Linked DNA regions of Arabidopsis thaliana. The protein of the gene in region 1 interacts with the protein of each later gene in a pairwise test. Each region holds a gene or a part of one and is shown in the gene's direction. Other genes may lie near its edges. The genes, in order: RL3, AT2G44360 and AT1G60670.

Evidence for each region.
Region 2: the proteins of RL3 (region 1) and AT2G44360 interact in a two-hybrid assay, tested with the Arabidopsis thaliana proteins (one large-scale study listed by BioGRID).
Region 3: the proteins of RL3 (region 1) and AT1G60670 interact in a two-hybrid assay, tested with the Arabidopsis thaliana proteins (one large-scale study listed by BioGRID).

Annotation. Positions count from the first base shown.
Region 1 is NC_003075.7:17,249,402-17,259,898, forward strand, and holds RL3 (RAD-like 3), read left to right. Parts: upstream 1-4,888; 5' UTR 4,889-5,258; coding exon 5,259-5,435; 3' UTR 5,436-5,528; intron 5,529-6,185; 3' UTR 6,186-6,361; downstream 6,362-10,497. Other genes in the region: AT4G36560 (uncharacterized protein), read left to right, coding at 3,256-3,588; AT4G36580 (AAA-type ATPase family protein), read left to right, coding at 8,557-8,835, 8,986-9,081, 9,189-9,299, 9,393-9,702, 9,812-9,902, 10,039-10,369, 10,449-10,497. UniProt on the Arabidopsis thaliana protein: Probable transcription factor.
Region 2 is NC_003071.7:18,317,150-18,327,140, reverse strand, and holds AT2G44360 (ecotropic viral integration site protein), read left to right. Parts: upstream 1-5,444; 5' UTR 5,445-5,556; coding exon 5,557-5,616; intron 5,617-5,854; coding exon 5,855-5,962; intron 5,963-6,046; coding exon 6,047-6,286; 3' UTR 6,287-6,409; downstream 6,410-9,991. Other genes in the region: AT2G44400 (Cysteine/Histidine-rich C1 domain family protein), read right to left, coding at 1-45; AT2G44390 (Cysteine/Histidine-rich C1 domain family protein), read left to right, coding at 590-738, 850-1,330; AT2G44380 (Cysteine/Histidine-rich C1 domain family protein), read left to right, coding at 2,808-3,551; AT2G44370 (Cysteine/Histidine-rich C1 domain family protein), read left to right, coding at 4,287-5,039; ATCS (Citrate synthase family protein), read right to left, coding at 6,617-6,715, 6,813-6,864, 6,942-7,015, 7,163-7,213, 7,305-7,412, 7,761-7,862, 8,030-8,116, 8,208-8,250 and 8 more.
Region 3 is NC_003070.9:22,339,330-22,352,190, forward strand, and holds AT1G60670 (hypothetical protein (DUF3755)), read left to right. Parts: upstream 1-4,255; 5' UTR 4,256-4,611; intron 4,612-4,735; 5' UTR 4,736-4,769; coding exon 4,770-4,972; intron 4,973-5,305; coding exon 5,306-5,405; intron 5,406-6,269; coding exon 6,270-6,326; intron 6,327-6,488; coding exon 6,489-6,594; intron 6,595-6,927; coding exon 6,928-7,010; intron 7,011-7,210; coding exon 7,211-7,272; coding exon of another isoform or gene 7,273-7,306; intron 7,307-7,387; coding exon 7,388-7,484; coding exon of another isoform or gene 7,485-7,541; exon of another isoform or gene 7,542-7,717; intron 7,718-7,754; coding exon 7,755-7,811; 3' UTR 7,812-8,295; downstream 8,296-12,861. Other genes in the region: AT1G60640 (stress response protein), read right to left, coding at 7-184; AtRZ-1b (RNA-binding (RRM/RBD/RNP motifs) family protein with retrovirus zinc finger-like domain-containing protein), read left to right, coding at 760-885, 1,977-2,485, 2,576-2,819; CB5LP (cytochrome B5-like protein), read right to left, coding at 3,260-3,625; AT1G60680 (NAD(P)-linked oxidoreductase superfamily protein), read right to left, coding at 8,495-8,833, 8,903-9,005, 9,083-9,255, 9,345-9,548, 9,686-9,907; AT1G60690 (NAD(P)-linked oxidoreductase superfamily protein), read right to left, coding at 10,563-10,901, 11,001-11,103, 11,178-11,350, 11,756-11,956, 12,118-12,339; AT1G60700 (SMAD/FHA domain-containing protein), read right to left, coding at 12,707-12,820.

The DNA of each region.
Region 1 (10,497 bases):
ACCTACAGAAATCTAATCTGAATAAAAAAAACTGTAAATGGTGATCAAAACCGCACCCAAAACCGTACCGCAACAGTGCTATAACAGTATTAAAATCTCTATTTATACATATGTATTTATGTATTTTCGTTAATATTTAAACCGTACCGCATTTTTTCCGCACTGTAAAACGCAGTCACCGTTCGGAGTCTGAGAATGCTAATCTCTAGTAGAAAGAAACTAATCAACAATGCAACATGTTATGTCGCGTTTTTTTTGGTGTTAAAGTTTTCTGTTGTGCCCAACAATTTCACTTAAAAAGTTTATATTCAAACAGACATTTCTGGAAAAAATAAACATGTATAGAAGAGAGAGTGTAGTAGTCACATCACACGCCATTAGCTAGAGAGAGGGACGGAATACTTTCTTTTCTTGTGACCACATCCTTCGCAAACGCAAATTATCAACAATGTATAAAGACTTGTTCGTCTCCATTTGTTGACTGGTCCATCTTTTATTCTTCTTTCACTCGCTAAAAAATCTAATAGAGTATCTTTTCTAAAAGAAGCCAAAGAATGGGAGAAGATTTCTTAATGATGATATTATAGAAGAAATATTCAAGCATGGAAAGTTCAAAAGAGTGTTATCTGGCTTTATCTAGATCTAAATTAGATAATAGTGCTACTATTGACGACACACTTGATGTAAAATATTGTTAGTTGTTGGTAGTAGATATCATGGGTTAAAGATTTAATTTGATTTTTGTTTCTTAAGTGTGTTTTAAAAAATAGCATGGGTGTTTTTGTTTTCTTTTTTTGAAATGGAAAATGATAAAGGTGTGTCGTAATATGGACACAACATCAATGTCCATATGTGAAGCCCAAGATGACTCGTCATTGGCCAAATTAATCAGAAAACGAGTCAAATGGTTTTGTTGTGATGTGAACTGTTTTAGGGTTATAAACTCCTTCATTGGCCAAATCAAATAAAAGCTTCAAGCTTGATTGTGATGTAAACTGCTTGAGGGTTTAATTAGGCTTACTGACCAAATCACTAAATTATTTAAGTTTTAGGTAAATTTTTGTTGTCATTTTGTTATTGGCCAAATGAATAGGTACCTACTCATTGACAAGTGAAAGCTACTCTCAGTCTCACAACAAGTACACTTCTTGATTAATTGTGAATGACTTTAGATAATACATCAACATAATTTTTTGATGTTTTTCACCCACATGATAATCAAAATTGAAAATTTTCCAAGTTTTGGTAAGGCACGCGTTTAGAGTAGGTGGTAGACCTGTTTAGATTCAGTAGATGTATAGGTTAGATGAAAGTACATCTTACGCTAAACCTGTTTGTTAGATGCCTTTTATAGTTTTATAGAACAATATTAAGCATCTTCTTATTTTTATACTATATGATAACGTAGTACTAAAAACCATAACGTAACTACCTGTATATTATCAAGAAAAAGGCACATTTAAGGGGGAAAATAGTTCTTTTTAAACTAGTGGCAGCTACAAGGCCCATGACAAGTTAATGATCAATGGATCTCAAGCCCACTAATAGTATTAGATTAATAGATAATTAATGGACCGTATGAAATTTCTTAATTGCCAAGTTGATGAAACAGCTATAAATAGAAAATTCGATGATTTGGTGATTTTTTTTAAAATATAACAAACAGATTGATTAATAGAAAATTGTGTGGTTTTATGTATAATAATACTTTTCACAATCTTTTCTTTTCTTCATATAAACAAAACAGTCAAAAGAAGAATTTATGAAATTGTTAACAAATTTATAGCCATGGCCGGAAAGTTGGATTGAGCCCAAAATTTTGATTAGTCTTCGATGCAAATGTAATCACCAAGAGATATTTTCTTAGGAATTATGTTAGCTCTTTTCCAATCTTATAACATCATGTAGTGTTTTTTGGTTATCCCTATTCGGATAGTTCGAGATATTTTTCTTTGGTCAACTTTTTTTTTTCTCAAACTTTCATCCGCATTAAACTTTTTGTAACGCACATATTCACTTACGTCATCCCAATCGAATTTTCAATATTATACATGGAAGCAAAATTTAAGTGAATAAGTTTGATTATTACGATTAACGCAGTCATATCATCCTAAACGAATTTACAATATTATACATGGAAACAAAATTTATTAAGTGAATAGTTTGATTATTACGATTAACGCAGTCATATCATCCTACTTTTCAACTCTAATCGTATATATATACGATTACTACATTTCCGTTACGTAAAAAGAAAAAAAATTAACAAAAAAAGTAACACGAAAATAAAATTATTACATGTATCCAGATTTTTTTCGTGTATTCAAAAATGATTTGGCGGCTTTTACTTTTTACTTACAATATTGCAGCCAAAATAGTCGTCTCCGGACAATTACGTGCAGTGTCAGGAGGCAAAATGAATTATTTTTGTAATACTACATTGTATTTTATCCCCAAAAACAGAAGTTAAGGTTCTGATGTTTATGATGACATCAAAATACGTGGATTCGGGAACATATATGGTAATTAAACAATGGAAATTTCATTTGCATGCATTTAATTTGTGCCCCCATAATAACGCCACCATGAGATTTCTTTATATTTAACCTCGAAAAGAAGTAATTAAGAGCATCTTCGAAACGTCAAATGAGGTCCACTTCAAAAGGATCAGGTAAGATCGGAATCTAATCAAATAAAGAAGAAAAGAGAATTTGTCCCCCCTATGGACTGAGACAACAACAATATTATTAGTCCCGTCATTAGATAGGGAGGTAGTACTATTAGTCCATACTGTAATATATATACAGTATTAGGAACCCCACATTATACGTAAAAAATATCCGCAAATGCATTGTTAATTGAGTACGTTGAACATTGACATATAGGTTAAATGGGTATAGGGTAAAACCCCATATATGGCCTGTTCAAATAATGAAATCGTTATCAAAATCACTGGAAAAAGCAAGTTTTTCGTTCTTAAGAAATCATAATAAACCTAACTGATCAAACCCAACGTAATCTCAACGTATTTTGGGTACAAATTTGCTATAAGAAATCACATGACTAGCCAAAAGCGGACATAGAAACAACTTATTCATACAAAACTTGGAAGCAGGAATAGTTTAGACGTTCGTAATGGAAGAGTAATGAATGTGAGTGCTTAGCATAAGCAATGAAGGCGTAGACGTGAAGTTACGGATCCAAATGGAAGAGTCCAAAGAAATATTCCAAGAAGGCAAGTTGTTGAGTGGGAAGATGAAGTTGAAAGGAGATGAGTATCTGCCAAAAGAATGTTTTATCACAAAGCTTAGAATAGAGACCAAAAGGGTACTACGAGAGCTGATATTTTTAAACTTTTTGGAGAAGAAATACAGTCCATATCTTCATCTTTTTGTTATTTTATATCTTATAATAATAAGTACAATAAAACATAGCGAGTGGAGAGGGATCAGAGTAGTTAAACAATTAATGTCCAAAACAAAGGAGCAGAAGAAGCGTAGGAAAGGCGCAGATGTCGTCGATAAAATTCATCTACGAGATCTTCCCAAGATTTGGAATTTGTCCACTTGTATTGCCACTCAATGTTAAATAAGAGAGAAATATAAACAAGAACACCTGAATATCCTCGAAAAGGTGCTGTTTTTTTTCTTTTCTTTTTTTCGTTTGTGTCATGCATTACTAAACCAAAGCTAAATATGCATCTCGTATATGAACAAACTAAACACACACACAAAAAAAAAAAAAAAAAAAACACTTTGTTGGAGTGTCTTTGTAAAAGTACTTAATTTATATCTTACGCTTGTGTATATCTTTAGAATTACTATCATTAAAATATCTTTTAAGGGTTATACACAAAAATAATTCTGTTAAGTTTTAATAAAGTTGCAAACAAATAATATGACAAGTATTGACAATTTTTCGTACAGAACTGTTTCAACTCATTCTCCGGATTTTATGTATATAAAATTAATTTTTAATTAAGCATTAGAAAACATTTTGAAATAGAACAATTTCTAGAATTTTATCTCCATGCTTTACAGTTTTATATCCACGTTAATTTTTTTTATGCATGCGCCAAACGGAGTACATCTTTAAAAAGGAGTGGTATGCAACAAAAGTAGCTGCTCAAGTTTACTATAAGGTTTAAATCAGCCAATCTTCTTAGCCCATTTTAAGAAAAGAATGACAAAGCAAATATTCCTATACCTATAAAAGATAAATATTGACTAATTTGATGACGAATTAATCAATAATACTATAACCTAACAAGGTTCGGTTCTTATCATCTTATGGTTGCCAAAGAATGTTTTTGTGATCACGGTCCAGAGGATTACATGTTTAGGGGCTAATCTTTCATTATTAATTAAGCCAAATCACTTCTTAGTACTACTCTGATATTTGTCTTCTCATTGGAAGGAATATAATTTAAAGCTAAAGAGCATCAAGCCATGTAAAGAGTTTGATGATATTCACTAATAAGGGTTGCATGCACGAGTTTCTGTTCTTATCAACAGATGCTCAACACGAGCCAAATGTATAAAAGAGATCACTCAGATAATTCTATTACCAAATTTGCTATAAGAGCCATGAGACAAGAATGGCAAGAATCGACGAAGTGGGATTGTGTTTTATTTTTATGACATTACCAAATGACTTCGACTATATATGGCATCTACGAAAAGACATATCATCACTAACCTATCCATCATAAACAGATATTTGATATTTCCAATCAAAATGGATGGAGATCAAAAGAAGCATCAAACATAATCTAACAATGTCATGTGTTTATAATAAGCATCCGATACTACGGTCTAGTGATGACTAGATCTATACAAGAGCCTTAAAGAGGTAAGGGAAGGTCCACAAACATGCATGGGTTACTGACTTAGTCGTTTACTGTACGGAAATATAGTAGCAATTAATACAAAAGAAAAACGGGGAAGAAAACATCTTATATTTCTCTATTGCAAGGTCAAGGAATCTCAAGTTTCATTGGATTGTTTCACAATTGTGTGTACCTTCTCTAAGACTTTATGTGGTTGCTAAAAGAAATAGTCACTCTCTTAAAGTATATATTCTTCCAACTGGCTTAACCCCACACCATGCTTTTTCCTCCTACTTATAAGGAGCTTCTCCTTCTCTTAGCTAACCAAATCAACTCCTTTTTTATCAAGTCATAGATACATCTTCCTTCTTATTTTTTTCTCCCTCCCAAGAAGCAGATCTTGTACTCTCGATATACATACTTATTTTATATGGCTTCCAACTCAATGAGCTCTAGCGCTTCTTGGACACGTAAGGAGAACAAATTATTTGAAAGGGCGTTGGCTACATATGACCAGGACACTCCTGACCGTTGGCATAACGTTGCAAGAGCCGTTGGCGGCAAATCAGCTGAAGAAGTAAGGCGACACTACGAGCCTCCTCATTAGGGATGTCAATGACATTGAGTCAGGGCGTTATCCACATCCCAATTACCGTTCAAATGGAAACAACCACTGAAAGCATTAAAGGAACTCCAAAAGGTAAACAGAATATCACAACAATTATCCATAAGAAAGCATTCATAAATAATAGACATGCACTCTCCAGTTTCTTATGCGTGTCTTCTTGTTTCACCAGGCCAGAGAAAAAAAAAATCTAGCTTTATGATATAGTAAACACCACCGTTTCCCATATCTATGAACTGTCCCAACTTCTAACTGTGGGGCCAAAAGCAATCTAGTAACAGAGAATTCAAAAGTTAGTTTTGTCAAGTTCTTGAAATTGATCATTAGCCCATTAGCTCTATATATATATATAAAAAGTCATAGACGCAAAAAGCCATTTCCTGGTGAAAAGATGAAAAGCTTCCATCCATCTTTTTATATGTCTTTTAGCAAACAAAAATCAAAGTCCCACATAGTGATAGGCTGATAGCATGTTCCATGTTTCTTGTCTTTACCATTGCAAAAACTACTCCACTTACATAGATAGTATTTTGCCCCCAAAAAACAAAAACATAAATAGTATAACGTAACCCCCTTCTCTACTAACTTTTGGTTAGCCTATAGTTAAAGTTCAGAATTATTAAAATTGCTAAATTTGTGTAACAAGATTATCTAGCTGATTTCTTCATTTTGATATCTACATCTTTTTAGTCTTTTGAAGTAGTTAACTCATCTGGATTTTATGTCTTGCAGGCTCTACTGAAGTGGACATGGTTCCAAAACCATTCACAAAGCACATCTAAGCAAAGATATCTAAATGTATTTACTTGTTTTTGTGTTACGAATATGTAAGAATTATCTAAATCAATCAATGTGGTTTCATATAGTATAAAGTATTAACAATCGGACAAACTATAGTTCTCCTTGAATTCCATCCATACACAAATCTTTACAAATCGATCTAAGTCTAACAAACAAGATCGATAGGCCAAATATCAAAACTCCTGAAAAAACGATTCAGAACATGTTTTGATTCACTTTTGCACTCATCTCGTCGTTTTGGCGCGTAGCCTGATGAGAATCTCCATGAACATTGTAATTTGAGGAAATTTGATACGGTTTCGCAGAAAAATCAAGAGATCATCAAATAAAAGTAATAGAGTAGAAAATTGTGTATTTACTTACGGATAAATCAATACTGGATCGTTTAGTTCTCGTCAGATACCTCATATACACGCGTCTGTGTTTGGGGGGAAACTTTTTGCATGGGATGTAATTTGAATACAAACGGGCTAAAATCGACGGTGGTCATAACTATTGTCCCCGAAAATGTAGCGTTCTTATTTTGTTTTGTTTTTTTAACTTTCGTTGTCATATAAATATCATAGCTTTATTTATGGTTTTCGTTTATAATATTTGCGTTGATGAAAATTAAAACAACTACTATAACTAAGGAGAGTACATGCACTCATGCATGCATGCAAACACGGCATATCGTAAAATTGTAAATAAGCAAATTCATTTATCGTGTGTTTTTAAAACAAACAAAAAATGTTATTTTTATAAGATAAAACACTATTTTACAAGATATTATAATATTTTTATTTTTAAGTGATAAAGAGTAACAGAAACGATAGATTACCTATTACAATTTTTCTTAATACTAAATTTGAAAGTCAAGATGAGAGGTCCCTATTGAGCTATAAACTTTTTGTCAATTTGATTCATCTCGAGTATTATTCGTTTTGTGCAAAAAAATAATAAAAAAATACATTACATATACCTTTCTAAAAGAAAAGAAGAGCTCAAGAGGGGTATATATATTCTGTAATATGTTAGAGCACATGCCTTGTATACCGAAAAATTGCGACCCATATATGAACCATGACGGATAATTGGATTTATACAGTCCATATTAATAATTACAATTCGAATTCGTTTAAGAAAAAGAAAAGACAAACTATTATCTGTTTTTTTCTGAAAAAGAGAGACATTATTCTGTAATATTTTAAAGCACAAGTCTCGTATATATTCCTGGCACAAAATAGCGACCCATAGTCCCATACTAACAACAATGAAGAACTAAATAAATAAAAATTTGAAAACTAAAAAACCGTAAATGTCTTTCAGTTATTTATAGAAAATACTGCGTTCAAAATCGTTGCAAGTAGAACTAGACAAGAACTAACGTTTTTTTCAAAAAAAAGCATTAAACAAAAGATAATTTTACAGTCAAAGTGATTAAAGTTGTGGATTTTTTTATACGGTGCATGCATAACCATTTATTTCAACTTCGAACTTCATCTTTCAACTAAATGGATGAAATTACAATTATATAAAAAAAAAAATGTTTAGTTTAAAATTATGTAGTATAATTAAGTGGATTAGATTTGTACTTAAAAATATGACAAAAATAGTAGAATATAGCCGATATTTTAAACTTATAAAAATTTCAAGTACGTACGTTCGAATAATCCTTATATCCATAATCCACTAGCTCAAATGGTGTGTTTTTGTTTGATATTCCTGCGAGAATATACTAATCAGTATTTGGTCGTTTTAATAATTTGAATGTGGATTGTGGAATAATTTCTTCTAACTATATTAATTATCTGAAGAACAATTATCTTACGTACCCGTGATCTACACAAACGGAATCTTATAAATATATATCTTTCGTCGCTGAGTGGAGGAGAACAAAACTTAGCAAACTTCAAACATTTTTTTAAAAACCAAAATTTTACACTAATGGTTTAGTCGTGGTTCGAGTTAAGAAAAAAAAGAATCTGTTTAGAACATGGCCCAATAATAGTTCCTATGAAAATATGCTTTTTGATTATTCTCCAAGCAATAATAAGCCCAATTATATTTAGGCCCAGATCTGCTTTTTGATTATTCTCCAAGCAAAGTAAACTTATACGGTCGAGATTTTATTATCATTTTATTTTTTGTCCTTTTGAAAAATACCGTTTAAACCCTAAAAGCTAGCTGCCACCGTGGGTTTATGGTCGGCAAAACCCAGAAATCGACCATCATTCACCGTCAATTTCCCAACTTTCATGAACCTTTAGCTCTATTTCTCAATCTCTGAATAAGGGTCAATCTTTTCTTTTTATCAAAATCGATGGCTGCTTCTAGATTGTGTTCCGCGGCGGCGATAGCTGCTGCGTTCACTTCAATGTCAATGTCTCAGAACCGTGCTTACGCCGATTCTTCTCGATTCCGGTTTCCTTTCTTTTCTTCTTCTCCTTCTCCTCCTCCGTCAGATTCTCCGGCGAATCAATCTTCATCGAAGTCTAAAGCAGAGCCTGATGAGCCTAAAGGATCGGGTTTTGATCCTGAGGCTCTTGAGAGAGCTGCTAAAGCTCTTAGAGATATCAATAGCTCTCCCCATTCCAAGCAGGTGACCCTTCATATCTATTTAGGGAATGAAATTAGGATTTAGCAAAAATGGTATGAAAAAATTGGATTTTGATCTGTGGAGATTGGTCTTTTGGTGATTGCAGAATTGGGGTTTCTTCTTAGCTTATTGGGTTCTTGGTTTTTCAATTAGGTGTTTGATCTCATGAGGAAGCAGGAGAAAACTCGGTTAGCTGAATTAACGGCAGAGACTTCTCATTACGAAGCTATTCAAGCACACAATGATATTGTGAGTAAACTTGAATTTTCCATTTTTTCTGCCATTTTTTTTTATCTGATTCTTGACATGATTGCAAAGTAATATGATTTGTTTTATGGGGCATTTGAAATGGGCAGGGCAGACAGCAGAAATTGGCTGAGGACCAGAGAAATCTTTTGCAGACACAGGCGCAAACCAAAGCGCAAAATCTGCGATATGAGGATGAATTGGCCAGAAAGAGACAGCAGGTTATTCTTTTTTTCTTATGTGTTCTCGTAGATGGATTAATCTTTCTGAAGTATAAAAATCTTACAAATGATTTTGGTTTGGGAGTAATGTAGACAGATCATGAAGCTCAGAGGCATCATAATGTGGAATTGGTTAAGATGCAAGAGGCGTCTTCTATCAGGAAAGAGAAGGCAAAAATCGCCACAGAAGAACAGATCCAAGCTCAGCATCGCCAAACTGAGAAAGAGAGAGCTGAACTTGAGCGAGAGACGATTCGTGTCAAGGCCATGGCTGAAGCTGAAGGTCGGGCTCATGAAGCCAAACTTACTGAAGAGCAAAACAGAAGATTGCTTATGGAAAGGATTAATGGTGAAAGAGAGAAGTGGCTTGCTGCAATCAACACAATGTTCAGTCACATCGAAGGTATGGAAACTGATAAATCAAGAAAAATATATCTTTTTGCTTTTGATTTTGAATAAGGAAAGATCAGTTCTTTTTGTTCCTTTTGCTTACTTCTATATGAAATTGGCAGGGGGATTCAGGACCTTATTAACTGATCGAAATAAGCTGATTATGACTGTTGGAGGAGCTACTGCATTAGCTGCAGGGGTTTATACAACTCGGTATGCATCTCCGAACCAAATAAGCTATTGGATATTATGGGATTCTCTGAACCAGTCTGATTTGACTCAAGTGATCTTAGATTCTTTTATCATTTTCTAATGTAATCTATTTCATGAATCTTTTTGTGTTTGACAGTGAAGGAGCTAGAGTTACATGGGGTTATATTAATAGGATGCTTGGACAACCGTCACTTATTCGAGAATCTTCCATGCGTAGATTTCCATGGACAGGCTCAGTGTCTCAATTTAAGAACAGGATCTCAGGGGCTGCAGCAGCTTCTGCAGCAGAAGGCAAAAAGCCGCTTGATAATGTAATTCTCCATACTTCTTTGAAGAAACGAATCGAGCGTCTCGCTAGAGCTACAGCAAACACCAAATCCCATCAAGCACCATTCCGCAACATGATGTTTTATGGACCTCCTGGTACCGGTAAAACTATGGTGGCAAGGGAAATAGCTCGGAAATCGGTGAGTTATTATCAAAACTATGGTAGTAGCTTTGTTAGTACCGTCTTCATGAGTTCTTAGATACAATTATTTGTTGCAGGGTCTGGATTATGCTATGATGACAGGAGGTGATGTTGCTCCCTTGGGAT
Region 2 (9,991 bases), on another chromosome or scaffold:
GGATGAGTATGAAGGAAGACTTAGGAGTTTTAGCTTGCAAATCATGCAACAAAAAAATGAAGAAGATTGGTCTTGAGGATTGAAAGATGAGTGGAACAATGGATGTTGGATGACTCAACTGTCGAATTGAGTCCTCTGGTTTTGGCCTTCCCACTGTTTTGTTTTTGTTTGCTGCACAAATATCTTCTTACTATACTAGTTTAGATAATTTTTGTAAGTTTTAAAATGCTATTAGTAATTTGGTATAAAAATAATTCAGTCGCTTGGATTTGATATGTTGGAAGACTTTGTTTTGTGGTAGTCATTTGTTACCGTGTGACTTTGTTTTCGAGGACTATTTAGGCGATGACTTCGAAAGTCAATGATTATTAGTCGTTACCCACATGAATTATACATGGGAAGCACAATTACTGGCGAATTTTATTGTTTTATCAATATTCTGTAAAGGTTATGTATATTAAGCAACAACTTGGTGAATAATCAAAACCAAACTATGTATTATGTTAATGAAAATAGAAATCACAAGTCATCTACATATTTTGCTATATATTTATAGTTTCTAAACGCTTGTTAACCAAATTCAGACACAATGGCTTCAAAAAAACCTGTTAATCGCCCATCCGTGAGGCATGCGAGTCATAACCATCCGCTGCGTGTCTTTAAAGCTCGAGACGAAGATGAGGTCGTCTGCTCTGGATGTGAGCTCGATCTAACGGGACAAGCTTTCAAGTGTATAAAGTCAGACTGCGATTACTTCTTACACAAGTCATGTTTCTAGCTACCCCGTGAAACCAGTCACAAGTCTCACCCTGACCACCCTTTAACCTTGCTTCATTCCCCACCATATAGTGAGACTTACACGTGTGATGCATGCGGTGAGTACGGATCCGGATTCACTTACAATTGTTCTGAATGTCAATATGATCTTCATGTCGGATGTGCGTTTATCCCGGAGACCGTGGAGCGGGAAGATCACGAACACCCACTCACTCTTCTCTACAATACACCATGCAAAGGCTGTGAGGACGGTGCGATGTTCATATGTAATGTTTGTGAAGAAGATATGTCGGAGAATCTATGGGTTTATTATTGCAAAGAATGTGATTATGGGACGCATGTGCATTCTTGCGCGGTTTATGAAGACGATGAGCCAAATAATAGAGGAGGAGAAGAAGGAGAAGCGATGAGCTCGGCGGTTTCGAGGATGAAGTCGTTGATGAAGGCTGAGGATGAGTTGGCGGCGGTACAGCTCGAGGCACGTATGAAGCGAGACGCTAATAATGCTATACTCGGTTTATATGCTGAACCAAAGCGGAGATATTATTGGTGATTGAATGAACGAATGATCAATTTAATGAAAACGCTTGTGATTGTTTTTCACTTTTTTTTTTTTCCTTTTCGTGTGAGTTATTTAATTTGTAAGTGTTATTCATATACTTTTCTATTTTAATTGCTATACAAATGTATGGTATAATAACAAGCTGAGTGGTTATATACTGGCCTATTTAACCATTTACATATGTAAGGAACAGTGATGATCAACAATATGGATGGCTGAAAAACTTTGTTATGTGCTATGCAATTTCTAACGTGAGATGTCGATCCAACACTTTCCACTCTACGACTTTTTCGCAATGCTATGGAAATAATATACAAATTTTCATTGAATCGTGCATATAATGTTGTGATTTGTCCTTACTCTTCATTGCTTCTCTTTACCATACTTTCATTGCATTATTGGTTATTCCTTAATCCGTAGCATCTCTTCTATCTTTTTTTTTTTTTGGATTTATACTAATTCCTGCTAATGTTATTATTAAAAATGTCTCCGAAAATATGTAGTAGCGGATCCGGGTGGCACGGAAATTGTTAAAGAAAGTTGGTGGTGAGGGTGAGATTGGTGGGTGACTCGAGAAAGCATGTTGGCACAAACCGTGTGAAGATCGATTCCGAAATCTCCACAGTAAACGAATCCATCACCGTCTTTCCCGCAAGCGTCGCAGCGGAATCGCCCTTCTTGGTATTTGGGAGAAGGGATTAGATAGAGATGGTTAGGGTGTCTGATTTTTTGAGGTAACTCGGAACATTTTCTGTGGATGTAGAATTTGCAAGGTTTGCATGAGTATGAAGGAAGATTTAGGAGTTTTAGCTTGCAAACCACAAAACAAAAAGATGAAAAAGATTGGTCTTCAGGATTGACAGATAAGTGGAACAAAATATGAGGATGACTGAAATGTCGAATTGAGTCCTCCGGTTTTGGCCTTCCCATTGTGTTGTTTTTGTTTTTGCTGCACAAATTACTGGTTCATTAGAGAGATTTTGCAAGTTCTAAAATGCTATTTGTAATTTGGTATATGTGAATATAAATTAATGGCTTGGATTGATTTGTTGGCAGACTTTGTTTTGTGGTAGTCATTTATTCTACCGTGTGAATGTTAACAGTGGGATCTACATTTTCAGTCGACGACTTCGAAAGTCAATGGTTATATTCTTTGATCAAGTCCTTATCCACTTGAATTATATATGGGAAGCTCAATTATTGATGAATTCTAGTTTTGTCACTATTTCCTAACAATCACCAAAATTGGAGATTTTTAAATCTTATCTCTGGTGATTGTTTCGTACGTGTCCAAGATTATGCAACTCTAATGTCAACCGTCTTCCATATATTAAACTACAACTTGGTGAATAATCAAAACCAAACTGAGAATTGTTTAGCGGAAAATGGAAATGACAAATCATCCACATATTTTGCTATATATATTTTCTAAACGTTTCTTACACTGAAACAACCAATCCTATACACAATGGCTTCAAGAAAACCTGTTAATCGCCCATCCGTGAGGCACGCGAGTCACAACCATCCGCTGCGTGTCTTTAAAGCTCGAGACGAAGATGAGGTCGTTTGCTCTGGATGCGAGCTCGAGCTAACCGGACAAGCTTTCAAGTGTATGAAGTCAGATTGTGATTACTTCTTGCACAAGTCATGTTTCGACCTACCTCGTGAAACCAATCACAAGTCTCACCCAAACCACTCTTTGACCCTGCTTCATTCCCCACCGTACGGTCAGTCTTACACATGCGACGCATGCGGTGAGTACGGATCTGGTTTCACTTACAATTGTTCTGAATGTCAATATGATGTTCATGTCGGATGTGCTTTTATCCCTGAGACCGTGGAGCGCGAAGATCACGAACACCCACTCACGCTTCTCTACAACACACCATGCAAAGGTCGTGAGGACGGTGCTAAGTTCATATGTGATGTTTGTGAAGAAAAAATGTCGGAAAATCTTTGGGTTTATTACTGCAAAGAGTGTGATTATGGGACGCATGTGCATTCTTGCGCGGTCTATGAAGATCATGAGTCAGAGAAAAGAGGAGGAGGTAGGGAAGAAGGAGAAGCGAGCTCTGCGGTTTCAAGGATGAAATCGTTGATGAAGGCTCAAGATGAGATGGCGGCGTTACAGCTCGAGGCACGTATTAGAAACGACACTAATAATGCTATACTCGATTTATGGGATAGTCCAAAGCGGAGATATTATTATTGATCGAATAAACGAGTGATCAATTTGATACAATGATTTTATTTTATTTTGAATAATAATAATGAAGCTTGTGATTGTTCTTTCTTTTGAAAATTTTGTTTTCTCGTGTGATATGTTGTAAGTATTTTTCTCAACTATCCAAGTCAATCTCTGTACCCTAATATAGAAGTTAATTATAGATGACGTTATATACATTTTCCACATAATAAAATCGTAATTTCGAGTTTGTTTCTTTAGATTACTTGAAGACAATATTATGCATTAACTAGAGACCCAGCGTAATTGACCTCATATCCTTCATTATGTCAACTCTATTGTTCATATATATGATAATTCAAAAGTTTATAATACTATTTAATTACAATTAGCTATTGAATCAGTTTATAATTTATAGGTTACAATAAAACTAGACGGCGTGATGGATGGGATCATGAAGAATAATTCCACCACTTGACTTTGAATTCCAAATGAGAATCAATCTTGTATATATCTCACCATCATCAAAGCGCGTACTGACATTTTTGTCCCAATATAGTTAGTATATAAGCTACACAACTTGGTAAAATAGTCAAACCAAAACACATCACTACTTCACCCTAAAGAAGACTCATTATCAAAAGTCGTCTTACTATTTTTACTATAAATATATACTCTCAAATCCCTTAGCTTAATAAGAATCACGAAAACAATAACAAACACACAAAAAGAAGAAGAAAGAAGAAGAAGATATTAGCCATCATGGCCGCAAGAAAACCGTCGGTGAGGCATCCGAGCCACAACCATCCATTGCGCAGTCACAAGGCCCAAGTTGAAGAAGAGATCATTTGCTCTGGTTGCGACCTCGACCTGATAGGTGCAGCTTTCAAATGCACAAAGTCAGAATGCGATTACTTCTTGCACAAGTCATGTTTTGAGCTTCCACGTGAGACTCGTCACAAGGCTCACCCGGATCACCCTTTGATACTGCTGTATTCCCCACCTTACGAGTCAACTTACACGTGTGATGCGTGCGGTGAGTATGGATCCGGATTCACTTACAACTGCTCTATCTGCCAGTACGATGTTCATGTTGGATGTGTGTCCATGCCTGAGTCCGTGGAGCGTGAAGGACACGCACATCCACTCACATTGCTCTACCGTTCTCCTTACCAGAACGGTTTGATCTTTAACTGTGATGTTTGCCAAGAGACTGTTCCAGATAATCTCTGGTCGTATTATTGCAAGGAATGTGATTATGGCACGCATTTACATTCTTGCGCGGTAGAGGAAGAAGAAGCAGAAGAAGAAGAGCCAAAAAGAGGAGGAGGAAGTGCAAGAGGAAACACAAAGAGTGGTGGGAATAAAGGAGGAAGGGGCTCAGCGGCATCGGAGTTAGCTGCAATGTTGGAAGCTCAAAGAGAGATGGAGAAGATGCAGATAGAGTTACATATGGAGATGCAAAGAGCTAAGATTGCTAAGAAAGCGAGAAAGGCTTGTCTCAAGTTGATCTAAAAACTTGTTTACGTTTCTATCAAGTTATCTCGGATTCTTAATGCTTTGAAACTCTTTTGTTGTTTGGACGTTCTTTTTTCATTGAATTGTTGTTGCAAGCTTTCATGTTTGTTAATTATTTTCCTTTTGAATAAAAAGCCTTTTGACTTTATTTGTTCTAATCATTACATAAAGTTGAAAATTACCACTAATCGATGATAAACATTGACCTTCAGAAACCCAAACAGAACCAAAAAAAGATTTGTATCATTATTTAATTGTTGATCCGCCGAATAGCAAAAAGTCAAAAACCACGTCAGAGATACAAAACAAACAATTAAAAAAACACTATCGCGTGAGATTCACACGCGCCGCTTCGTTGATTCGTCGTCTGTTTACCCAAACTAGTAGTATCAGATTTAAATCACACGATCACACGAAGGAATCATCATCATCATCAGAAATTCAGAATTCAGGAGCAGTAATTAAAATTGATTATTTTGATTATAAAATAACTCAAGAGAGATCACAGAGAGATATGGCGGAGGGTAAACCCGACGAGCAGCTCTTTCAGCTTCTTTCGGGTCTTCTTCAACAGGTTTCGCTTTTCTTTTTAATTCGTTAACGATCTGTTGAAATTCGTTTCCTCTTGATTTTGATTTTCGTTTCAATTACGAGCCGCTTCTATTCGTCAAATTTCCCTTTTTCTGTCTAATTCGTCAAAAAAATAAAAGGGCAAGAGCTTTTTGATATTGTTGTTAATGGACACTAATTGTTACTACAACATTGACAAATACAGATGATTTTGTTGCCTACTGATGATTTTTGTTTCTTAGGTAGAATCATTGACAAATACAGAAGAGGTTGAGCTACGTTCTAAGATTGAAGCTCTTGGTTTAGAAGTCACTAAAGTGCCATCAAAGTCTGCTCAACACCTCAATGAGGTCTGTATCCTGTGTTCACTCATATATCTGGTACACATTGTAATGTAAATCTGAGGCTTTGTGTGTGATTGTTTGTGTTTTCAGGTGGAGATAGCTAAGGAATTGGACAAGTTATCAGCAAAGTTAGATGATGTGGATGAGATGATATCATCAGCTATAGCTTCTGATCCACAGGTTCAGACGCTTCTTAGCGGCACAGCTGATGTTTGGATGCCGGTTATCACTGCCGGCGCCGAAGAGAGACTCAACTTCACAGCCTCTCTTGCTGATGATGATGACCTTTCTAACAAGGAGACTACTACCGACAATACCAGCAGCTCTTAATCCCATTTTCTTTTTGATAAACTCATGTCGAAGTTTTCTATTTTGCAGTCTTGTTTCTTTTATGTATATCAAAACCAAGATAAGCTTTAATTCATGAGTGATATTGATGTTTGATTTTTACGCAAACTGAATACAACTGTTTATTTATTATCACGAGTTTCCCGGAAATGCAAATTTGCACCAAGCATGTGTTTCTCAGGAACAATTTCTACATGAACAAATGTTTCTTCTGTCAATAGAAGGTAAAAACAAAAAAAGCTATCCAGTGTGGAAGAGAATGACTTTTGTTGAAACACGAGAGAGTGCGACAACTCAGGACTCGGTGGTGACTTAAGCAGATGAAGCTTTCTTACAATGGGCTTCAAGCCAGTCCATGGTAACACTCTTTGGCCTCTCAAGTGCAAGTCCAAGAGCTCGGTCCCATATAAGCTGTGAATTAAACACAAATGAGAATGGAGAGCATATGAGTTCTGTTTTAAATGTTATGTAGTAACAAAGGCGTAATGTGTAAATATATATATGTTACCTGAGAGCAGATGCCAAGACTCCTTGAAACACCAAAGAGCACGGTGTAGTACCTATAAAACGCACAGATATTATATTTGAGTGCTATCCTAAGGCTCAATGATACTTGAAGGAGGTGTCTACTTCTTACCTTGCTTCGGTTAGACCATAGTGGTTCAGCAAGACCCCACTGTGAGCATCAACATTTGGCCACGGGTTCTTCACCTGTAACAAGCCATCATCGGATTCGCAAGTAAATAAAAAATTGATTCGCAAGAGATTCATAAGCCCCTAGCATGTAGGTAAGGTGTTGTGGAGTTGTTGGTGGAATATTGAAGGATCACCATGGTAAACGAAGGATAGAGATACTACCTTTCCAAGCTCAGTGAGAACAGGAGGCACAACTTCATAAAGCTTTGACACCTACAGAGTTGGAAGGATTTTGTTAGCTACTGAACATTGATAGAATTTTGAGAACCGAACAGAAAAGAGAAAAGAGAAAGAAAAAAAGTACCAGCTGGAAAAGAGGGTCGTCAGGTAGATGCTTCAAGGCAAATTCTCTTTGGCATACATATCTTGGATCAGTATTGCGCAGAACACCGTGACCATATCCCGGAATAACCTAGAGACAAAACAAGACTCGTCAATAGATCATCATTAGACTATCCTTGTAACATTACATCCACAAGGTAAACTAGGATAGGGAAAAACAGGATCCAAAGCTCTTATGGCAGTATTACTTACTAGGAGCAGTTAGAGCAACTGACCAAACTATGAGGTCGTAAATAAGAGGACCCATAACAGTATCACACAATAAATTGAAATATTAGCCTATTATGATGACTAGTAGACAAGATGTTAATTCATTTTCGCATGCTCCATCAGTCTTGTTGGCTGGCTTCAAAAGTGGGATTCAGGTACAAGACCAGAAAGTAAAGAATGTCAAGGCAGAGGAATTTCCTGTTTTTACCTTGCCACTGTTTAATGTTTTCCAAACATATTCTTTCAACTGTTCTTTTGATATATCTTCTCCACATTCCTCTACGACTGATTTGATCCAAAGCAAAACTTCCTGTTGAAACAATAATAAAAAAAGACTAAGAATTTGTTTTCTCCAATTTATGGTTGTATCATCAAACTATCACAACCTACCTAGATAAAATACAAAAAGCCACTTACGAAGCTCTATTGTAGATTGAAGATTTAAGACTTATTCAAGATATAGACAAGGGAGGATACCTGATTAGCCAAACCATGGAGTGGCCCAGCTAAACCATTTAATGCAGCTGCAAATGACAGATATGGGTCTGAAAGTGCACTACCAACCTACATGAACAAGAATTTTTAGCAAAAGAACCATTAGAAACTTCAGGTAGGTCAATCCTTTAAAATTGACACATGGAGAGTATATACATACCAGGTGACCAGTGTGAGCACTAACATTTCCACCTTCATGATCACTAGAGCAAAAAATAGTAGAAAAGCAAAATGTTATACAAAGGTCTATTTAAAGTCTTAAAAAGAACAAACAAATTTACAAGATAATTAAGCTTATTTAAGGAGACATGCATGGGTGACGAAAATTAATACAGACCTGTGGATGGTGATGTAAAGCCTCATGAGCTCTTTCACCTTTTCATCATCAAATCCCAACATGTGGGAAAAATTTGCACCATAATCCAAAGATTTATCTGAGGGAATGGAATCACCATTCTTATACATCCTGCAATGATGCATGGAAAAGGTCAACAGTCAATACAAAGCAAAAACAAGAGATGGCAAATTTTCCAATAAAAAAAAAATCATTGCCGAAAATCCAGAAGCTACAAGAAACATGAAAAAGAGTACAAAAAGAGTCTTCACTAACCTTCGATAAACATATGCAGCTACAACAGGAACACGAGCAATCAGGTTGAGGCAATCCTCATATGTTGGCTCCCAGAACCTGGAAGAAAAAATCTTTGTTATGATGCCAGCTAATATGAAACGCTATCATGAACTAAATCAGAACCCCAAAAGCATACTTTGACTTATGAATTCCATTCTCATATGCCTTTTGAAACTCACTTTGCACCTGGATATTAGGTAAAGAAAATTATCATTCTGCTGAAAATTGTTTACTTATAGCCAAAAAAAACAATAAGTTTCCAACGCTTATCACAAGAAGAACAGAAACAACAATACGAGTTTAGAGAACCACACCTGGAGGGCCATAACACCGCTAGCAAATTGAGTCATTGGATGAGCTGTGGAAGGCAGAGCATCGATGGCATTGTACACATAATCTGTATAAAAATTGGATACAAGTTAAGAATGAATGAAAGTATAACACAAAACCCACAAATTTATTTCATTTCTGTTAAGCAATTTCTTGTAAGCATTGATGTCAAACAAGTTTGAATGAGCCAATAAACAGACTCCTTTATTTGCAACAGCCAGAGCGAAAAAGGTAATATCCAAACCTGGCACAGCAGCACGGTTCGCCAAGTCTTTCGACAGTGCTTCAACTTGCTCTTTGCTAGGTACCTATACGAAAAAGGGTAAAAAAGGATATCATAAGATAATCTATTGAGGAAAACTAATCGACTGGACATATCCAGAACCAACTTATAATAATGTACAGAAGAGCCACACCTTTCCAGTTAAGAGAAGCCACAAAAGACCCTCCGGTAATGGTTCAGCTCCAGACTGGGCAGTAGGTAATACTTTCTGGCACTCAGGAATCGACAATCCCCTAAAGCGAATACCCTGAAATAATGATAAGATAATTGCATCAACAGCCTTAGAACAGGAAGGAGGAGCATTTGATATATTCTATATCTAGGATCTAACCAAGCTATTGTAACTATATACAGAGAGTTATACAGTACCTCTTCCGGGTCAAGCAATGAGGTTTCCCAAAGCAATCCAGTCATCCCTCTCATTCCACCAATAACCTTTATTTCAAAGGGGATTATGATGAGTTATGCAATGGAAGGTGAAAATCATATAAACAAACCAAAAACGTGAAAATCATGATTGTTTCTACCATATCAACAGTGATGTTTCCCAGTTGGACCTTCCCATGTTCTGACTTCAGTTTCTTCAGACGGTCCTGAAATTGGAAAATTCTTGTGAGAAAAGAGGAAACTAGAAAAGCAAAGAGATTCACTACAACTAGCCTGCCTTCTTAACTTAACAATCTCAGCTAACATAACAAAT
Region 3 (12,861 bases), on another chromosome or scaffold:
GCAAACCTGGGGATTCATCATCTCCTGAATCATCACCGTCCTCGGAAACTTCTGCAACAGAGTCTTCTTCTTCAGATTGTTCTGATTCTTCCGTCTCAGGATCAGAGTCAGAAGAGAAGCACGATGAATCGGATCCACTGTCTTTATCACCATGCTCAAGCTTGTAAAATCGTCTCTTTATCATTTTTACTTCGTGTTTACTCTACAGAGACAAAACCCAAATTTAGAATTCGAAATTCTCCAACAAATCAAAAGTAAAGGAGCAAACTTCGGATTAAAGTAAATAGAAAAGAGGAGACTTTCGTACCGTGAGTTCCGCAGAAGAGAGCTTGGAGACTGAAAAGGGGAAAGCTTTGCTAAAGAGAAGGGTTTTAGGGTTTTTAGGTTATTTTTGTAAATTAAGTAACTTTTATAAGGGTGTTTTAGTCATTGAGTGGACAACATTTTATCCCAATAAATATACTTATTGAGTTGAAGTTAATCCTCTGCAGTTATTTCATTGTCCATCACCAATCGCCAAAACCGCAGAAAGGTCTGACCTTTGGATTAGCGGTGAGTAATTAGGGTTTATCATATCGAAATTTCTAGGGTTTCTTTTTCTTACTTCGGATTTCAGCAAGTTTATTGACCCGAATCTTTGTTTCAATAGAATTTTTTTGAGTTGTTTAAGTAAGAGTTGGAGTTTCGCTTTGATTTTTCGAGTTTGATTTTGTGGGCTAACTATGTTTATGCGTTTTTGGTTTCAGTGAGAGTTTCACAATGAAAGATAGAGAAAACGATGGAAATCTTGAGAGCAGAATCTTCGTGGGAGGGTTATCGTGGGATGTCACAGAGAGACAGCTTGAGAGTACCTTTGACCGCTACGGGAAAATCACTGAGTGTCAGGTCTTGTATCGATTCTCGTACTTTATGATCAGAAGTCTCAGAGACTCGTTTTGAAACCTGTGTTTAGTGAATGATACCTCTGAGATTGTAGGATAGTTTTGTTTGATGAACCTAAGACTCATCTATTCTGTAGAAGAGCACACACAGATATTGAGGTTTATTGACTTGTTGAAGGATGCAGTCGAGGAATTAGTAGAGCTTTCTTAGGAAGTAAACATGCATCTCAACCTCCTCTTGATCTGAAAATCTGTTTGAGAGCCGTATGTTTAGAAATGCAAGAGTTTTGAGATAGATCATGGCTCTTGTCTCAGCATCAGTGCAGTAATTTTGGTTTGACGTCACTGTGTTTTGTTGGATATTATGATTAAATTGCAGCTGAGCTCTCTTTTCAGTGGTTTTGACACCAATCAGGACTAACCATCTTTTATTCTCTTGCCTGTGGTATCTGCTTTAGTAGTCACTGAGATGGTTTTCTTGTACTCATTCATCATGAGCCACTAGTTGTTGTAATTGTAAAAGTACAGTTATTGGCACATGTAAGCATCTCTAAGTAGTCTATCAATACACCAAGATGATAAGTTTCTGGTCAAAAATGGTCTTGATCAGAATATTAGTCTTCTTTTTTAGGTCTTGATCAGAATATTAGTCTTCTTTTTTAGTGGAATTAGCATGGAAAACGCATTCCTGTGGATTTGTTGTGGGAAACTGATTTGAGGTAACAGGTCTGTTGTAAGGGTTAAAAGTATGGTTGGCTAGAGGCTAATCTCCAACATCGTTTTGCTAGGATTATTGTTGTGGTGATACTTCTTGTGGATTAGTATTTCTACAAGTATGCAGCTGTAGTTTGACTTTGTGTTGTGTGATTCTAAGGACTTGAAATGAAGTAAATTTGTGAATCTTGCTACCGTCTTCTGTTTGCTTGTAAATGTTCTGAGTTTGCCACTTCTAGGACATGCTATATGAGAGATAGGAATGTAATACATCTGCTTATTTCTTAACTCTAATGTAACATCTGGTTCTTAGTAATATATCTTGTTCCTGGCTCAATATGCATTTTAATAACATTATTGGTCTTCTTTGCGTACTTGTAGATTATGGTGGGGAGAGATACTGGGCGTCCACGTGGTTTTGGGTTTATTACATTCACTGATCGCAGAGGAGCTGATGATGCAATTAAGCACATGCATGGAAGGGAGTTGGGCAATAAGGTCATCTCCGTGAACAAAGCTGAGCCCAAAGTTGGTGGAGAAGATGTAGACCAATTAAAGAAAGGTGGAGGCTATTCATCTCGAGGGAAGGGAACCGAGGATGAGTGCTTTAAATGCAGACGCCCTGGTCATTGGGCTCGAGATTGCCCATCAACTGGTGACGATCGAGAACGGTTCAGAGTTCCCCTTGCGATGCGCTCTCGTATTGGAGACATAGATGGACACCGAGATCGCTATGGAGATCGTGATCTGGAGAGGGAGCGGGAGCGGGAGCGTGAGTTTGACCGCTACATGGATGGACGCCGTGACCGAGATGGGGGACGATATAGCTACAGGGACCGCTTCGACAGTGGAGACAAGTATGAGCCTCGTGATCACTATCCATTTGAGAGGTTTGTAGCTCTTGTCCTCAGGTCTAAATAAATGTTCCAACATGTGTTCTTTTAGGAAAGTCATGACCTTTTGATGTATTAACAATGTAGATACGCACCACCAGGAGACCGTTTTGTGAGTGATAGGTATGGGATGCCTGAACATCATCTTGAGAATGAATATCGCGGGAGAGAGAGAAGCTATGACAGGGACAGATACGCAAGGGATACAAGTGACAGATATGGAGATATGGGACCGATACGCGATGAGGGAAGACCCTACAGAAGCAGACCAGGTCCTTATGACCGTCCTAGCCGTCCTGGAGGCAGACCTTCATCATATGAACGTTGGTAGTTTGTTTTGGTTAACCAGATGTCAATGCTTATGCTTTGGGATTTAGGTCTATATCAGAGATAGAACTCGAACTCGAGATCTCTGTTATGCTTTTTTGTCGAATATTATGATTCTTCATCGCAGTAAAAAAGTTATGTTCTTATGATCCTATTGATTCCCATAAAGCAATTCAATAGATTAAACTCAAAATTGATGGATTTAAAACACTTGAGACAGAGTTAAGCATAGAACACTTGAAACAGAGCATAGCTTCACCATGAAAATTAAGAGAAAGGAGGAAACTTTGGCAATACAATGGAAGAAGAAGTGTTACACTAGCAAGACAAAAAGGTAATGCAATCTCAAATCTTCAATGAGAAGAGAATTAAAAAAGCCATCTTTAAGCTTACTTAAGAAGAAATCTCAAATCTTCAATCAAATCTCAAATCTTTAAGCTTTTACTAATGAAGTTCCCCGATGTAGAAATCTTCAATCATGTCGAAAACACGAGTGGCGTGTTGAGGTCCGAAGAAGCCATCAGTAGAATCATCACCAGCATGATCAAGAATAGCGTCACCACCAGGATGTTCTTCAACATAAGAAGTAATATCATAGACTTTATCTTTGATTATGATCCAACAATCGTTCCTTTTGTTATGTACTGCGACTTCACTCTTGCTGTAACTTTTTGGTCTTACCACATCTTCTACAGGCTCACTGCTAGATCTCTTCTTCTCTTGATTGTCGTTTGTTCTTCTTCGCTTTCCTTGGATTAAGAACAATGCTGATACTAGAAAACCCAGAAGCAATCCGATCACAGCTATCATCTTTCTCTCCTTGGAAATAGCAAAACCGGAGTGAATGACAATTGGAGAGAGTGGTGGATTAGATCCAGCTTGCTGACGAGTGACGACCCAAATTATTGAATTTAGGGTTTAGAGGGGCATAAAAGTCAAAACACAACGTTTTCATTGTCCTCATCTTCGTTAGTGGTTGTCGAGGTTTCTAACCAAAAAGCATCTCCACGTCTATGCAAAAATGAAGTTGTAGTTATTTTGGTTATTACTCGAACCTGAGACCCATGCATCTAATTTTTTTTCTCCTTCTCCCCGGCGAATCCTACTATTATCGATTAACTAATTTGATGTCTCATTTTTGTCTATGCACAAATTCAACTTGATTATTTAGGTATATAAGTAAATAAAAGATTTATCATAAAATTACACATGTAAAAGTTTGAAACAAATTTAATTATTCATAACTCACATAAGACATGTAAAAAAAAACAAAAAAAACAAATGTCACTTAGTGAAATGGATACCAAACTTTATGATTTATAATACCTTGTTGTAATTTAAATATCTGAATTTCCAAAGTGTAGGTGACTGTGTAATTCACAAAAATTGAGTAAAAGTTTAAAAAAATAAGGAGGAACAAACCATCTTTCTTCAAAGAGTGGACTAGACAAAAACAAAAAAGCAAAACCACCACAATGGAATAAAAAGTGGTTCTGTTTCTTAATAGAATAAAAACCATTACAAAACAAAACCACCATTTTCTCTCTCTCTCTCCTCGCCAGCTTCTGCAATTCGAAAGTTCTTCGCATCATCTTGCTGTCACCACTCTCTCGCGAATCGAATCACGATTCTTCAATCTTCTTCTTCTCTATTGCGATCTCTCTGAATTTTGTAGCTTCACGATTTCAGTATCTCTACTTTCATCACCAATCGTTGGGGGTTTAGGGTTTTTGCATCGACGCCATCTATCGAGCTACGGAGAAGCATACTCATCTTCTATTTTGGCTAAATCCGAGGTGGGTTTTGCTCAGGTTTTGCTCTTTTAGGTTTCTGTTGGGTTTTAATCGGATTTTTTTCCGTATGATTCTGAAATTGCTAAAACCCTAAATTGAACATGTTTTTGGGCGTGCTTCGTTGTAGGTCAACTTAATCTCTACGAAATAGCTTTTGAGTGATGATTCCGATGGATAATTATTGCGTACCGAGTACTAGCACGACCGGTTTAGTGTTTTCGGCGACTTCGAGCATGAATGCTTCTTCTGGATTTCATCTTACTGTAAATTCTCCGACTTCGGTTACTGGACTCAAACATGAAGCTTCTTTGGCTGTTGATTGGTCTGTTGAGGAACAATATATATTGGAGAAAGGTCTTTCAAAGTAAGTATTTTTGTTATTCTCCATTGTTCTTCGTTCTCTGCAAATTTTCTCACTTCGTAGCTATTATACAATGTTAGAGTAGATAAATTTTTATATGTAGATGAAGGAAAAGGTTTTGCATTTATGTTTCATATGAACTGTTATAGCTCGTGTTGTTATCTGGAATCATAAGCTGATTCAGATTCTTATAGATGTATTTTGTATCAGAAAATTTCTACGAAAGATGGCTGAGTTTTTCTCTGTGTTAGTTTCTTACCTTGCGCTGTTTTATGTTGTTTCGAGTTTGTCTTTTATTGTTTTGTTTGCCTAAAACCTTTGTCATGTCTTTTGTAGATTTAAAGATGAACCACAAGTTACAAAGTATGTAAAGATCGCAGCAACTCTACCAGATAAAAGTGTACGGGATGTAGCAATGAGATGTAAATGGATGACGGTAAGTTCCCAATGCATTGTCATTAAGTTTCATAAGTGGCTTGCAGACTTCTTATTAGTTGTTATTCAAAGAGATCTTGGTAACGTCATTTAGCTTGGGAGATGAAAAAAGGAGGAAAAACATAGTGACGCTACTTTGGGTGTATGCTTTGTTAAAGATAAAGTCCTATGGGAAAAGTTCTTTTATATTTTTTTGGCTATAAGGTAGGCTTAAAGTTCTATTGCTATATTGATGAAAAGACACCTTACCATATCATAAAGGTTGTTTAAAGTATGGTTAAGAGTGTGCAAGGAGAGTAATAACAAGTATTGCTGACGATAGATCTGGCTTTCTGTTAGCTCTGGAGTCATGTTGGAACTTGATTTGACCCTAAAGCTTGATTTGATTTCTGTAGTTACCCTGAAACTAATATCGCCAAACGAGTGATGTCAGATAGCCTTGGGCTTTTTTCGACTTTCTGAAGTTTATTTTGATATGTTACTTTTTATGAAGGATAAGATTTCTATGAGCGATGGTTAAACATTGGTTATATCCTCTGCAGTATGGCCTACACTGTAGTGTTAAGATTCATATAATAAATGGGGGAAAAAAGTTGACAGATTATAGTGCCAAATATTACCTTATTGGCTTATCCATACTATCTATCCTGTCATATTTTTTTTATGAAGTTGGGCTGAAGAAATAGATAGATTTTTTATGACTTGAGTTGTACAAGCAGATATATGACTCATACAAACATAAGTCTTGACACGGGGCCTTTTTAACATTAATAATAACTGCCAGTTTGCTATCTAATATCTTTCAACTATTTAAATTCATGACTTTTGAGTTTGTCTGGGCTAAGATTGAAATCCTTTTTTTCAGCAAAAGCGAAGAAAAGGGGAAGAACATAGTACTGGCACGAAGGTTAGTTATAGAAAGGTATGTAATGTTAGTAAATAACCAGATAACGGTTGGTGGCCTAGGTTATAGTTCGCTTTACAAGAGGTTATTGGCTACAAATGGTTTTTTGTTCAAAACAGCTACAAATTTGTTCTCCTTGAGATACCCAACACACAAGTAACTGATTTCTCCTTGATTTAGGTAGTGGATTTACCCCCAAAACTGAACATGTTCTCAACTGAGCCACAACAAAATGCTACATATGCCATGAACCATATGTGCCAGAGTGCACGCATGCCTTTTGAAGGTTAGTACTATTTGGGTAACACCGTAACAGTATTGTCGGTATTATTTCCTTCCCTCTCCTGCAAAGGTTGTAACTGTAAAGAAAGATTATTTTAGAAAGACAAACTGCATCTTGTTTGAAATCTCAATCAAATGTACTAGGCAATTTGTTGTTCATCTTGTTCATGCCTGAATATAGGCATTATCGATGTTGGAGAGTTCCTGGACTCTCTCAGTTATTGTCTCATCTCCTTAGTTGTGCCAAGAAAACTCAATCTTGTTAGCTTGATACCTTTTTCTCACCTGTCACATTTTTACGGTCTCATATATATTTTCCAAACTTTTATTCTCCTAGGTCTAAGTGATGCGGTTATGGAGCGTCTACGGCAGAATGCTCAAGCTTTCAGTCAAATCTCCTCAAACCTTTCTGTGTGCAAGGTAATTGATTTGTATCTGATCCAAATGCTAGCTGGTAGAAAAAGATTGCATTAGCAGAAAATTGACTTTAAAAAGATCGTAGAATGTATTTTTCACATGCACAATGTTTTATTCAATGCAACTTATTGTTTGGTTGGGATACATGCTGTTGTCCTTTCGTAATGGAATTCCCATCCTGACATCCTATTTTCTGCATACAGCCACAGGATAACGTCAGTCTGTTTTATATGGCAAGAAATAACATCAGTGCCATCTTGAATGAGTATGTGGATCTAATAGCATGGTTGAATCACTAATGATACATTTCCTCTGTTGTCCTTCACCTTCTCGTCTATGAAAGCTTGATTTACTATACTCTTTACTTATTATTACTGCAGCATGAAGGAGATGCCTGGGATCATCAGCCGGATGCCGCCTCTGCCTGTCTCAATTAACAATGATCTTGCAAGCAGTTTAGTGACAAGTGCCACACAGGTAAGCAATCTTGCATTTTCTCTGAACGTGGATATTCCTGAATATGTAAGGGATTAAAAACCTCAAATGCTTCCCTTACCAAATTTGCCTCTGTTTCATGAAAAAATGTCTAATCGCTTCAAATCATAGGACTTCCATAACCCCTAAAAATCGGCTTCTAGTATTTTAGGGAACTATGATCTTGTACAAGAACATTGCTTTAAATCTGGTGAATGATGGAAACACAATGTTTGATGGTAAAATATAATTTTTTATCTGTCTGTCTCTCAGCCGAGATCTTATACCATTCCCTCGAGCATCTATCTGAAGCAGGAGCCAAGAAACTGATGGGGGAGGAAACTGGATTTTGACCAATGCTAAAGGAACTAGCACAAGAAACCTCTGGTAAATGGCAGCTGTTCACCGTGACCCACATGAAAGATGATGGTTTTGTCAACTGCTAAACCTCTTGCAAAACACAGGATTGAAGAAGATGGGATCTTGTGGAACCCTTTGTGCTGTCGGCTAATATTAACAATGAACCGCAGGCTAGCCAAAAACCCCTTTTACAAATCCTTTCACGTCTCCATAACTGATTATTTTTCCGTTGCCAAAATGCTTTGGCGGTCAATCCAAGATATGAATTCGTTGCACAGATCCATGTTAAAAGTTGGTTGTATAGATTAGCTGTTTCTGTAAGGTTTTAAATGAGAGTTACTTTAAAGTTTGTATCAAGAACACATCTTTGTAAGGTTTGGTTTTCAGAGGCATTTTCATTCTTCAAATCTTATCTTCAAATCAGCTACCATATGGTATGGCTCCTCTTTTTCCATGTATTAAATTTTTCTAAATGGTTGAAAAGGTGATGTTTTAGATTTAGAGGTTGGTCGCAGTATATGAAATGCATAGAAAATTATACATTGAACACTCTGAACATCAACACAAACTCTTACATATTATTTTTGTGGGCTTACACAAGCCCTTAGCATATTAATTTTAGTAGGTTTAGCTAGAGAAACTCTCATGCGGTTTTAAGTGGCTTTCCAGGAAGACAACGGTGGAGTGTTGGAGTTCTTGAAGGTGGACATTGAGGCCATGTATCTTTCTCCTTTCACAGACTCTGGTTTGGCAAGGGAGTCGAGCTCAGATATTTCTTCAGGAGTGAGTTTTACTGACAAAGCTCTAATGTTCTGGTTGAGGTTTTCAATCTTAGTGGTTCCTGGAATGGGGCAAACATCATCTCCCTGGTGATGAACCCATGCTAAGGCTAGTTGTGCTGGAGTGCACCCTTTCTTCTCAGCCATTGCAGAAACTTTCTCAAAGAGAATCTTGTTGTGGTCTACGTTTTCTTGTTGGAATCTTGGTAGAGTCTGCAATAAAGAAACACAAATTAGTACAGTATATTAATCATGTGTTTTAATGCAAATAACAGTAGTTGCCTTTCTGAAGTCATCGTTTTCCAGATTCTCAGCAAGTTTGGGTCCTGCTGCTAAGAAGCCTCTTCCTAGAGGGCTATAAGCTACGATTCCAATCCCAAGTTCCCTGGTGAAGCATAAACGAAATGTTAACCAAACATGTAAACAAAGAGGAAAGTTATATCTGATTTTGATTCTTCACACCTGCAGATAGGAATGATATCTTCTTCCGCGTCTCTCGACCATAAGGACCATTCTATTTGCACCGCAGTTATCGGGTGAACAGCATGTGCTCTTCTGATAGTTGAAGCTGAAGCTTCTGACAGACCAATATACTTTATCTTACCCTCTTCAACTAGCTTCTTCAGTTCTCTCATCTTGGAATTCAGAGACAAAGAATCATTTTCAGAGCCAACTTGGAAACATTGAAACCATGACATGAAGCAGGATTGTGGAGGAGGCTTACAGTGATTTCGATAGGGACACGAGTATCGATTCGATGCTGATAATAAAGATCAATGCAGGCAATATCTAGCCTCTTTAAACTAGCCTCACACGCTGCCCTTACATACTCAGGATCTCCTCTTACCTCAGAAATTTCCCCCTCTACTATAAAGAATCCAAATTTGGTCGCAAGCTCCACTTTCTCCTTCACCCCATCTTTCAGAGCCTGACAAGAAAATGAATTGCAACAAACTTTCTCATACAAAATCTTGTTGTGGTCTAAGTTAGTACCATAGAATCAAGAAACAGAACAAACTAAAGTATCTTGATCACTCTTTCGAACAAAACAAGATAAACTCGAACCTTTCCGAGGAGCAACTCGTTGGTTTCAGGACCATACATGTCAGAGGTGTCAAAGAAAGTAACACCGGAGTTAATAGCATGGTGGAGGAGAGCGATGGCGTCAGTTTCCGGCTTGGGAGCACCGTATCGAGCGGAGAGGGCCATGCAGCCAAGGCCTTGCGCAGATACCTCAAGGCCTTGGCTTCCTAGCTTCATCCTCCTAACTCTGCAAGCTTCAGCCATGGATTTTATGTCACAACTCGCTTTCTCTCTTTCTCTCTTTTGTAGAGTTTAGAACTGAGTGGAGTAGTTGTTGAAGTTGGGTTGATGAGTGGTGTGATTAAAAAAACTCTCAAATTGCCTATGTCTTTTACAAAAGTGCTTTTACAAAATATCTTTCTTACATGAGATTTAACCAAAAACAAAAAACTACGTACGTGTTTAAGTGATATTTCTTCAAAGATGTGTCATCAATTTGTGTTCAGTAGTCTTCACGTAATCGATATTTGTTTTCTTTCATGGTCTTGAGTCAATGAGTAATGTCGATCTTCTTGAGTAGGCAAGGTTTGTCTTATTAGGTAGTGTTTGGTCTTCATGTTTCTATCTACAATTTGTGTCACCTATAGTTTGTCTCATTGGAAGCTTGTAGGCAGGTTCCAGATCATTGGCTCTAACTAATGGTAAAATGTTCAAATATGATGGGAGGACTCATCATTGGCATTAGCCATTAGGTGCCTAAACTCTAAACCTAAGTCAGCTGGGACGCTTAACTCATGCTGATGGCGATAGGTCACTAAGACTATACAGAGAATGGTCACCGTATATATAAGATGGGTAGAAGAAAATAACATATTCTATACATAAATCATCCTTTGGCCAGAGAAACTCTCAGACAGTTTTACACAGCATTCCAAGAAGACAATGGTGGAGTGTCGGAGTTTTTGAAGGTTGGCACTGTGGCCATGTATCTTTCTCCTTTCACAGACTCTGGTTGGGCAATGGTCTCAAGCTCAGACATCTCTTCAGGAGTGAGTTTCACTGATAAAGCTCTAATGTTCTGGTTGAGGTTTTCAATCTTAGTGGTTCCTGGAATGGGACAAACATCATCTCCCTGGTGGTGAACCCAAGCGAGGGCTAGTTGTGCGGGAGTGCACCCTTTCTTCTCAGACATTGCAGAAACTTTCTCATAGAGAATCTTGTTGTGATCCAAGTTTTCCTGTTGGAATCTTGGTAGAGCCTGCAATAATTGAGTTTATATATAAAATCATTTGATTTATCCACAGGTTATGTAAGGTTCATCAATCAAACAAGTCATCCAAAAAGCCTCTGCACTTGCCTTTCTGAAGTCATTATTGTCTAGGTTCTCAACAAGCTTAGGTCCTGATGCAAAGAAACCTCTTCCTAGAGGACTGTAAGAAACAATCCCAATTCCAAGTTCCCTGAAGAAAGGAAGACAAGACGTTACATAATTGATGGATTTATGCATCATGAAAGGATGATGAAATCTGCATACCTGCAGGTTGGGACAATTTCTTCTTCCACGTCTCTTGTCCACAAGGACCACTCTAACTGCACGGCGGTGATTGGGTGAACAGTATGCGCTCTTCTGATAGTTGAGGCAGAGGCCTCAGACAAACCTATGTACTTTATTTTACCCTCTTCAATTAGCTTCTTCAGTTCTCCCATCTTGGTATTGACAATCAAAATAAATGGTTTAAGTTTAGCAAAAGGTGCCAGCTTTCTATAAAGGTCAGGAAGTGTAAGCGAACTAGAGAGCTTAGAACCAACCCTTAAGGAGTCTAGTCAAATGAAAAATCATTAGGGGAGATGATAAAAAACCACACTGGAAGGAAAAGTAACTAAGTAAGCATCCCACATCAGAGAGAGGAAACAATAGTAAATGGCTTATACTAAATATCATTTCATCAGAAATTGGTTCTATATGAATAAGTTAGCACTTTCTGAAAGAAACCTACGCAGAAACCAAACATATACCAAGCCAAAGATGTGAAGCTCACTGAGATAAACTCAAGCACACTTGAAGTACTAAAGTATGTAACTTCCCTTTCATCTGAAAGTAAAAATGCTTACAGTGATTTCAATAGGAACACGAGTATCAATCCGATGCTGATAATACAGATCAATGCAGGTAACATCTAGTCTCTTTAAACTAGCCTCACAGGCAGCTCTAACATAAGCAGGATCTCCCTTAATCTCTCTGTTTCCCTCTGCATAACTGATTCCAAATTTGGTCGCAAGCTCCACTTTCTCCCTCACACCATCCTTAAGAGCCTAACAGCATTCAAAATTTCAATAATGATTGATCAATCATTCCCATCTCTAAGTTTTCCCAACAGAGAACGAATTCAAATTTGTTGGACAATTTCTTCGAAATTTAACCATCTAAAAGCGGAAAGGTCAGATGGCAGATTGGGGAATTTCGAAAATAGAACCTTTCCGAGGAGAATTTCATTGGTTTCAGGACCATACATGTCAGAAGTGTCAAGGAAAGTAACACCGGAGTGAATAGCGTGGTGGATGAGAGCGATGGCTTCAGTTTCCGGCTTGGAAGCACCGTAATGACCGGTGAGTCCCATGCAACCAAGGCCTTGCGCCGATACCTCTAGGCCTTGACTTCCTAGCTTTATCCTCCTCACTCTGCAAGATTCCGCCATGGATTTCTCTCACACAAATCTCTCTCTCTATCTCTCGTGTATCAATGGCGAGTTTTGAATTGGAGTGGTCGAGTGGAGTGGTTTAATTTGACAGATGAGTGATGATGATGATTGAACAAAAAAGCCAATAGGTGGCGCAGTTTTAATTTTAACGCTCAAATCCTGGTTTGACTAAACCATCACTTTTAAACCGAAAAATATCAATTACGTTTTAATTAAACCGAAAATAAGATAATCGATGGGATCATTCATCCATTGGTATTAGGTGTTTAAACTCCTAACCCTAAGCCAGGTGGGACATTTAAATCATGCGGATGGGTCACTAAGACTATGAAGAGAGTGGTATAGCTAAAGGTATTCACAGAATCTATTCACACCATCTGAATTTATTGTCGTCCTCGCTCTTCCTCCGTGTGTTGTTCTTCAAGAATTGTCCCACTGCTTCTTTGTTAATCTTGAACACAAAGGTTATTCCTCTAATCTGCAAAATTTGGGCGGTTCTAGTTATAGATAGAAAGATGC